Linked DNA regions of Neurospora crassa OR74A. The protein of the gene in region 2 interacts with the protein of the main gene of each other region in a biochemical or structural test. Links are inferred from orthologs where the notes say so. Each region holds a gene or a part of one and is shown on either strand. Other genes may lie near its edges.

Region 1 (3,758 bases), on a different chromosome or scaffold from region 2:
TCACCCGCCCAACCCAAGCAACCCTGTTGCTGTTGAGAACGCCCCCGTGGCTTCTGCTCGAGCAAGCGAGGAAGCAGAGACTCTAGTCGACGGTTTCAATGGAGGCAACAACAGCAAGCGGTACCTAATCACCAAGCAGGAAGACTTTTACCAGGTGAATGACTGGCTCAAATTTGTGTTCTCGAGTCCGGGAGCGTGGGTGTGGTATGCCATTCAGGTGTGGAACTCGATCTTGTGCGTGGTAGGCGTGGTACTATTTGAACCATTGATCAGGGCTATTGGGATTAGGAGGGAGGGAGGCGGAAAGCCAAAGTGGACGTGAATTTCCGAGGATGTTGAGTCTGTAGCCATATTGGGGAACCCCTCGAGAAATTCTATAAGTGGAAGGGGTGCAAGAGATAAGATTGAGAAGATCCAAGCCAAATGGAAGAAATTGGATGTTACAGCACAAACTGGGATGGTGAGACACCAGCTGTATCGGTAATACTCAAGAGAGATAGTCATGGACAAATATGTATACTCAAGTTGACTGCATTCCTTTAATACACTGGTACCACACGTCTCAACGCATAGCGATACTAAGGGTAGAAATTTGAGCTTACCATCATCTCGAATCATGGTATACTGTTCTTCTAATCCTCTAGATGCCTTATACAATTATGTTCTGTCTCTTTCCCGCCCCTTCTCTCGTACTGACCGACTCTCGCGTCGGGACGGTCAATTTAACCCAATTCCTGTACCGATTTATTTCCTACTTTCGTAAGCTCCAGCCAAGGAACACGTTTGGTCAAATCTCCTGTCCGCTGTCACCATGTCTGTTCTGTTCGTATAATGTCGGCTTCTAGACGTACAAACTCCCCGGGGTATCGCTGCGCAACTGAGGGGGCGCTTTTGTGCATGCAATGATTCTCAGCAGCCGATAGTCGATCGGTCTTGATTTTGCCCTCATATCTTCTACTCCTTTACTATCAGGCAGTTTGCCACGTAAATTTGCCTGAGCAATCCACTCAAAGACCAATCAACTCAAATACGTTTTTCCACCTCTTTCAAACAACCTGCTTCTTCATCCACGCAACAGGGACGCAGCATCCCAGAGTAGCACTCTCTCGTCCCAGCCGGCCGACGCGCACCAACCGCCTGCACCGAACAAACACCAATCCACGCCCGTAACAAACTCAGTATGCCTGTTCATAAGGCCCAACTGAGTTCCCGCACGGACAGTGTCAGGCTGGCGCCCGCTCGGTACCGGTGGCTGAACGTGCTGCGGCATAGTGGATCCGTCCGTCCACACGCGCACGCTCATGTCGTAGCTGGCGCTCACCAAGATGTCGCTGGCGTGCGGGCTCCATGCAACGCGGCGGACCGCGTACTCGTGGCCTGTCATGAGCGCCAGGGGACCGCCGGCCGGGTTGCGGATATCAAACGTGCGTATGACGCGATCGACGCCCGCCGTGGCGATCACCGTGTCGTTATATTTGTTCCAGTCGTGCGTCAGGACTTCGTTCGGCACCGTGCCCGAGTAGATGGAGCCGTCGGCAAGGCGCGAGTAACCTGACCCGCCCGTGGCCGGCGCGTGCACGGGGATCACGTTGGTCAGGTGGTACTTGGCCGATACGGGCGTGCGTAGGTCGAAGATGCGCAGGGAAGAGTCGGCGGAGACGGCGGAGACGAGGGCGGCGTTCGAGGGGCAGTAGGAGGTGCTGTAGGTGCAGCAACCAATGGGGAGGGTCTTGAGGGAGGCGTTGCGCGTGGGAGACCACTGAAGACAGAGTAGGAGGATTGTAAGCCAGCGCGCAAGTCGATCGGCCATGATGCTACGATGGTGGGTGGGAGGAACACAAGAGATGAGCACATACAACTTTGACGGTGCCATCCCAGGAACTCGAGATGAAGCTGTCCTTGGTGACGGGATTCCAGCAAACCGAAAACGTTTCCCGCTTGTGTTCGTGAAAGTTCATGACAGGGAAGTTCTCCACCCCCAGGTCGAAGAGCTTGATGGAGCCATCGCCGCAAGCGACAATGAGCTGATTCTCGTTGAGCTCCGACCAGGCAAGATCGTATTGGGCATCGTTTGTCTCAAAGGTCTTTTCGCACTGGACGCCGGCTGCGCTCAGGCCCAGGCAGAAGAGGCGACCGTTGCCGACGATGCCATAGTTGGCGGCAGTGGCGACAGCAAGGCGTGAGTCGTAGTATGGGGAGTACTTGACGGCGTAAGGATTGTAGCCCGGGGTACGAAATTCCAGCATGGACGCCATGTCGAGAAACGTGGGCTTGTCATGTGCTGCCCATCAGGAGGTCTCTGTAAAAAGGTTGGCGTTGCAATGGGCGCACGACCTCTTAGCCGACGTGAGTGGTTGACAGCCTAATGAATCTGCCAGCGACGGTCGCGAGATGAGGCGTTGCACCTGGAAATGACGGCGACGGCTTGGACGTATCGGTAGGGTTTGAAACGGGCGTCGGGTGTAGGTGTTGGCAGAACTTACTGTGACGGGATGGAAAGCTGGTTGGAAACTAATTGAAGAACGCCAAACAGCGACAACGCCGTGGGGAAAGCCTCGGCTTGTCAGCTTACATCTGGATATTAGTGGGGTACCCCGGAAGCCCGCCTGGCATCCAATCCATATCTGGTCGGCACGTTGCCCCTGCCGCGGGCGTGGAAGCCCCGGGCCGTAACGGCGTGAGCCCCACAGCATGGATGGATGTGCTCGCTAACTCTCTAAGGGATAGCGCCTACCCATGACGTCGCCCCAGGATACGTAAAATATAGTGCACACTAGAAATAAGTACCGACGTGTCCCCGTGACAGCGCGTGTTTGGCCACTTTCAATCACGTCCCCCTCCTTCCTCTTCGTAACAAGGACGCGTCTGAAAATACAAATCCATGTTCATCTTTCATCCCACGCGCATCTAACCAGCGTGAACCCGGCCATGGTAACAGACACTCCAACATGTCGAGATTTTGTACTCCTTCCTCTAAGCCGTGGCAATGGACAGGTTCATAACGAGGGGGAAGAGGAAAGCCGAGTTGACGCTGGAGGAAAACGTGGACACCACGCAAATAAAGCAGACTATCACCGCCTTCAATAATCCCATTGACAACACTCCGGATGGCGATGGAGAATCAACCGATATCAAACTGGCCATACTTGCTTCATTGCATCCAGACTTCGGTCATGATGCGTTACTGGATCTTCTAATCACCCACGATGGATCCGTGGAAGCCACCACGGAGGCTTTGAAAAGTGCCCAGGGCGCAGGGCAGATAGCCAAGAAGAAGTCGTCAGGTATTATTTCACAGGCTTCTTTACGCTCTTTCGCCGTTCCATCTACCACCGGCGATGGCGACCATGGCGGTGCTAGTATTATCCCCAAGAAACCCAAGCTCCTTTCCCGGAAAGGCGCAACACTCCATCTCTACGACCCCTCCGACATCAGCACCCACACCCCTTGCACCGTCATCCACAACTTCCTCCCCCCTTCGGTCGCCAACAGCCTCTTGGTAGAACTCTTGGAAGAAGCCAAGACCTTCGGCAAAGCCACGTTCAAGCTCTTCGATAACGTAGTCTCTAGCCCCCACACATCCTGCTTCTTTGTCGGGAGCGATTACGAGCTGGCCGAGCAAAAATCGGCCTACTTCTACAACGGCGCGCGCCTCTCCGATATCCGCCGCCTGACACCTCAGCTGGAAACAGTGCGGCCGTTGGTGCAGGACGCCGTTAATACCGAGATCCAGAAGCGCATCCGGACTCATCACCTGT
Region 2 (3,808 bases):
GACGAAGGCGCTATGAGAACATTGGCACAGGAAGAAAGGGATGATGGGTGGGGTCAATGTTTGGTTCCAAGCAAGCATTGCCCGATCAAGTAATAGCTACGAGGACTATTAGATGCGATTGGAAACTGAACCATGGCACGAAGGTGTATGTACCTTGAACCCGGGATGTCTTAACAGAGAATATTCCGCATCCGACCTCTCGGGTACGCATATGCTACGCTGAGGTAATGATTTGGCAGCGACATCAATACCTACACTACAATGTATCCTTTAGTTCTCTACAGAGGCCGCGGTGTTCTGACTGTACCGATGTGGCTGAAAGTCCTGAATAGAGGGCGACATAACCAAAGCCAGTTGTCCCTCTTTGACCGTTTGCGCATCTCTATTCGATCATGGCTTTTTTTTTTTTTTGCCCCTCCCCTCCAGTTTTTTTGGGTGGCTGAGGACAATAACCAAAAATTTGTCTCGGCAATGCCATAGCAGCGGTCAAAATAGTGAGGCAGAAATACTGGGCGGTCAGGTGTACGGGATGTCTCAGATCAATTCACGGCCTAACCTTATAAGATGTGAAAATGGTAGCTTTTGATATCATGCTCTAGGAAAATGCCATGCAACGTCCGCGCTTAAAGACCTTGCAGAAATACAAACGCGCTATCATGGAAAGGGGACTGAATGAGGTTGTCCCATGCTTCACAAGTGCTCCTGTGTATTGTCCTGCTTGAACAACGTACAGGAGCTTTATTACTATACAGAAAACCAGAGGGAGTCGCTCACTTTGGCCTTATGCTCATGCCGATTAATGTATCCAGGTTTCCCAGTTCCGGTGCTATTTTATCTTTGTGCCTGACTGGAGAACAGCTTTTTAAGCGGCTTCGTCGCCTCCGTTGCTGCTTGAGCCATCGTTTGTAGTACCGTTCGTGACTCCGACAGTCGAAGCCGACGCGGTTTTGTTGGCCATGGCCAACTGCCAAGCAGGGATAGTCGGCTTGCCTGCAGAGGCAATTCCGCTGCTGAAAGGCGAAGGCTTGGGGGCAGCAGGTTGAGCGAACTGCTGTTCCTGCTGGTATCTGGATTGCTCATCCTGCGCACTCGCGGCTCTGCTGTTTAAGTCTCCGTTCTCACCGCCGAGGGCTGGCGTGGCAGGGGCTGAAGAAGGAGTGGCGTTTCCGTTAGTATTGGGGCGAAGGTAGTTGTTGACGCTCGTCGAGGTGGCGGTTGGGTTCATGCGTTGCGAGATGAGGGTCTTGAGGCTCTTGAGTTCGGTATTGAGTTCGCGCAGCCTGTTGTCGGTCAAGTCCTTCTGGTTGTTGAGTGCCCTTGGAATCGAGTCCCTGAGATTTTGCACATCGTCCCGTACTCTCTGTGCTTCGTCGTCTCTGCGTCTGTTGGCTGCCTTGAGGTCCCTGACGACAGTCTCCAGCTCCTCGAGGGCATTGTCGAGTCTCTCTGTCCTTTCCTGCTCCGAGGCCTTGAGGATTTCGGTATCCTTGGCCAGCTGCTCAACCAGTTGGAATGTTTTGTCGAATTGTTCGTCGATGGACTTCTTGTCCTGCTCGAGACGCTCCGGCGTGGGAGGAGCAATCAAAGGATACACATAGCGCTGCCGAACGGTTAGAATTTCCTTTTATGTACATTGCACGGTGTTCGGCGGCCTACCTTGCCGAGATTGTATAGGCCGTACGACGCGCCTCCGACTACGGTCGCCAAAATGAACAGGTCCCTCCAGTCCCGCCTGACACCGTCGGTATTCGATTGCGGCCATGCGTATGGGGGATAGCCATAGTACTGCGGAGAGCCACCCTGTGCTGCGACGGGTCCGGCCGACTGCGCATAGGCGGGCGACTGGGCGTACGGTGGCGGTGGACCTCCTGATTCGGCGCGGGCGAGAGCAGCGCTGACTTCTTCCTGGGTGAGGTTCTTTGCTTGGAGAAAGGCTATCCGCTTCTCGATTGGCGAGGCGGCGACACTGGGGTCTTGAAGAACTGTGGTGTTGTTGTCGGGTGAGATTCTGGCCTGGCAATGTAGAGGAGGTAGCAGGGGACAAGACAGGGGCAGAACATACACTGCGCCGCCGAAGCGACCAGGTCCTCGCGGATGGCCATGACTGATGTTGTTTGATCGAAATGCGGCAGATGGCGTTCCCTTGTTGAGACTGGGCAGACGAGAGGAAAGAAGCAGACAGCTGAAACAGTCGCGACGCGATGGCAGACGGCGGCGGTTGATGGAATGATTATCGAAGGACGGGAGGCTGAATGCGATAGATGAAGTGGAAACGAACTGACTGGCAGCGGTTCGGGGGATGGCTGGGCCGCTGGATGGAGTCCTGAAGCCGAGGTTCACGGGACCGGGGGCCTGATTGTACACTAGACGTGGACTGCTAATAGCACCTTAACAGCTTCGCATCACTTGCACCCCCAGCACACTCGTGGAGGCATGCTGATCAGATAAATCACTATCTCCTCCCCTGACTCTCCTTTTCCTCCGACAGGCCTAGAGCGCAGCTGAGCATCCATTCCATGCAGTGACTGGCTCAGAGACGGGAGTGCAGAGCTGAAAAAGCACTGACCTGAAGCGAGCCAACACTCACCCTCAAGGTCGCTTTTGGACCCACTCCCGTCATTCACCTGCCGTCCCGATGCTTGGGGACGAGAACTGGAGTGCACTTGGCACTGTTCAGCCCAATGATTTCCACAGCCCCACCCACGTCGCCTTTCTTTTGTTTACTCTTCCTGACGGAGCAACCTCCCCCACCATCCGCAGAAGTCGACAACCTAGTCCCGTCTACACTACGGTGTCTTAATCTACCTACATACCTATGCTGGCCTGCATTAGGTTGCTGGCCGTACACGTACTTTTATCGCTACGACACGACGAAATCCGCGACTGCGGTTATGCATTGATTTCTGTCAGAGCCGCGAACACGTACCCACATTAACTCGAGCGCATACCTTAGCTCTACAAAGCTATCCGACATAATCACCACCAAGAGAATCATCGCCGACATCGATCCGACACAGTTGCACGTAGTGTAACACTCTTTTGTTCGCTTGCTTATATATTATCACGGAAACCACGCGACTAGGACGGCAAAAGGGAGGCGCACATTGACGAGGCCTTTGCCGTCATGTCGCAAGACAGCAACGCAGGCCTTTGGAGTGTTCGACGGCCAAGGGAGGTGCGACTTCCCCCCGTGACTTTCTTTGCGGCGTGTTTCCTCGGTCGAAACCTCTCCCCATCCGACGCGACCATGCACGATATTGACTCTGCTCTCTCTGTAGACTCTCCATGGCGTCAACCTCACGTCGGGCATTCCGGCACCACCCTCCACACTTAAGCGACAAAGCACCATCGGCACAATAGGAACGGGCCATGGTCGCTCTCTGTCGGGGAGGCAATCTCTGGCCCTCCCGCGACCGAGCCAACCTCTGTTCCAGCGATCCTCCGACATTGGCCTGGGCTCGGTAAAGCGCGCGTCGGTTCATAACATGAACACGTCGCAGTTCAAGCCCTATGGCACCCCAGGCAGTTCCGGTATTCCTCGATCATCGCAAGAACTCGACCGGCGAAGCAGCGTCTACCGCCCAAGCGCACGACCGTCGGCCGTCGGCGGAGGTCCCTTAGCTGGTGGGCATATGAGCTTCTTCCAGCAAGCGCCCCAGCCCGCCGGCGTGCCTCGCGATCCGCGCCCCCTCAAAGACCGTCAATTCCAAAATCGCATTGGCCAGGAGTTGCTCGAGTACCTCGCCAAGAACAATTTCGAGATGGAGATGAACCACAAGCTGTCCGACAACTTCACAAAGTCGCCGAC

Evidence for each region. The genes of interacting proteins can lie anywhere in the genome.
Region 1: the proteins of pex14 (region 2) and pex7 form a complex in vitro, tested with the Saccharomyces cerevisiae proteins (2 studies listed by BioGRID). The link is inferred for Neurospora crassa OR74A from reciprocal best matches to the Saccharomyces cerevisiae genes PEX14 and PEX7.

The regions. Positions count from the first base shown.
Region 1 is NC_026504.1:2,329,020-2,332,777, reverse strand, and holds pex7 (peroxisome biogenesis factor 7), read right to left. Parts: upstream 2,560-3,758; 5' UTR 2,256-2,559; coding exon 1,857-2,255; intron 1,760-1,856; coding exon 1,064-1,759; 3' UTR 501-1,063; downstream 1-500. Other genes in the region: NCU07661 (hypothetical protein), read left to right, coding at 1-322; NCU07663 (GRF zinc finger domain-containing protein), read left to right, coding at 2,987-3,758. UniProt on the Saccharomyces cerevisiae protein: Receptor required for the peroxisomal import of proteins containing a C-terminal PTS2-type peroxisomal targeting signal, such as 3-oxoacyl-CoA thiolase. Specifically binds to cargo proteins containing a PTS2 peroxisomal targeting signal in the cytosol.
Region 2 is NC_026506.1:2,098,178-2,101,985, reverse strand, and holds pex14 (peroxisomal membrane anchor protein), read right to left. Parts: upstream 2,517-3,808; 5' UTR 2,103-2,516; coding exon 2,063-2,102; intron 1,983-2,062; coding exon 1,657-1,982; intron 1,601-1,656; coding exon 863-1,600; 3' UTR 501-862; downstream 1-500. Other genes in the region: NCU03899 (HEC/Ndc80p family protein), read left to right, coding at 3,125-3,175, 3,279-3,808. UniProt on the Saccharomyces cerevisiae protein: Component of the PEX13-PEX14 docking complex, a translocon channel that specifically mediates the import of peroxisomal cargo proteins bound to PEX5 or PEX21 receptors.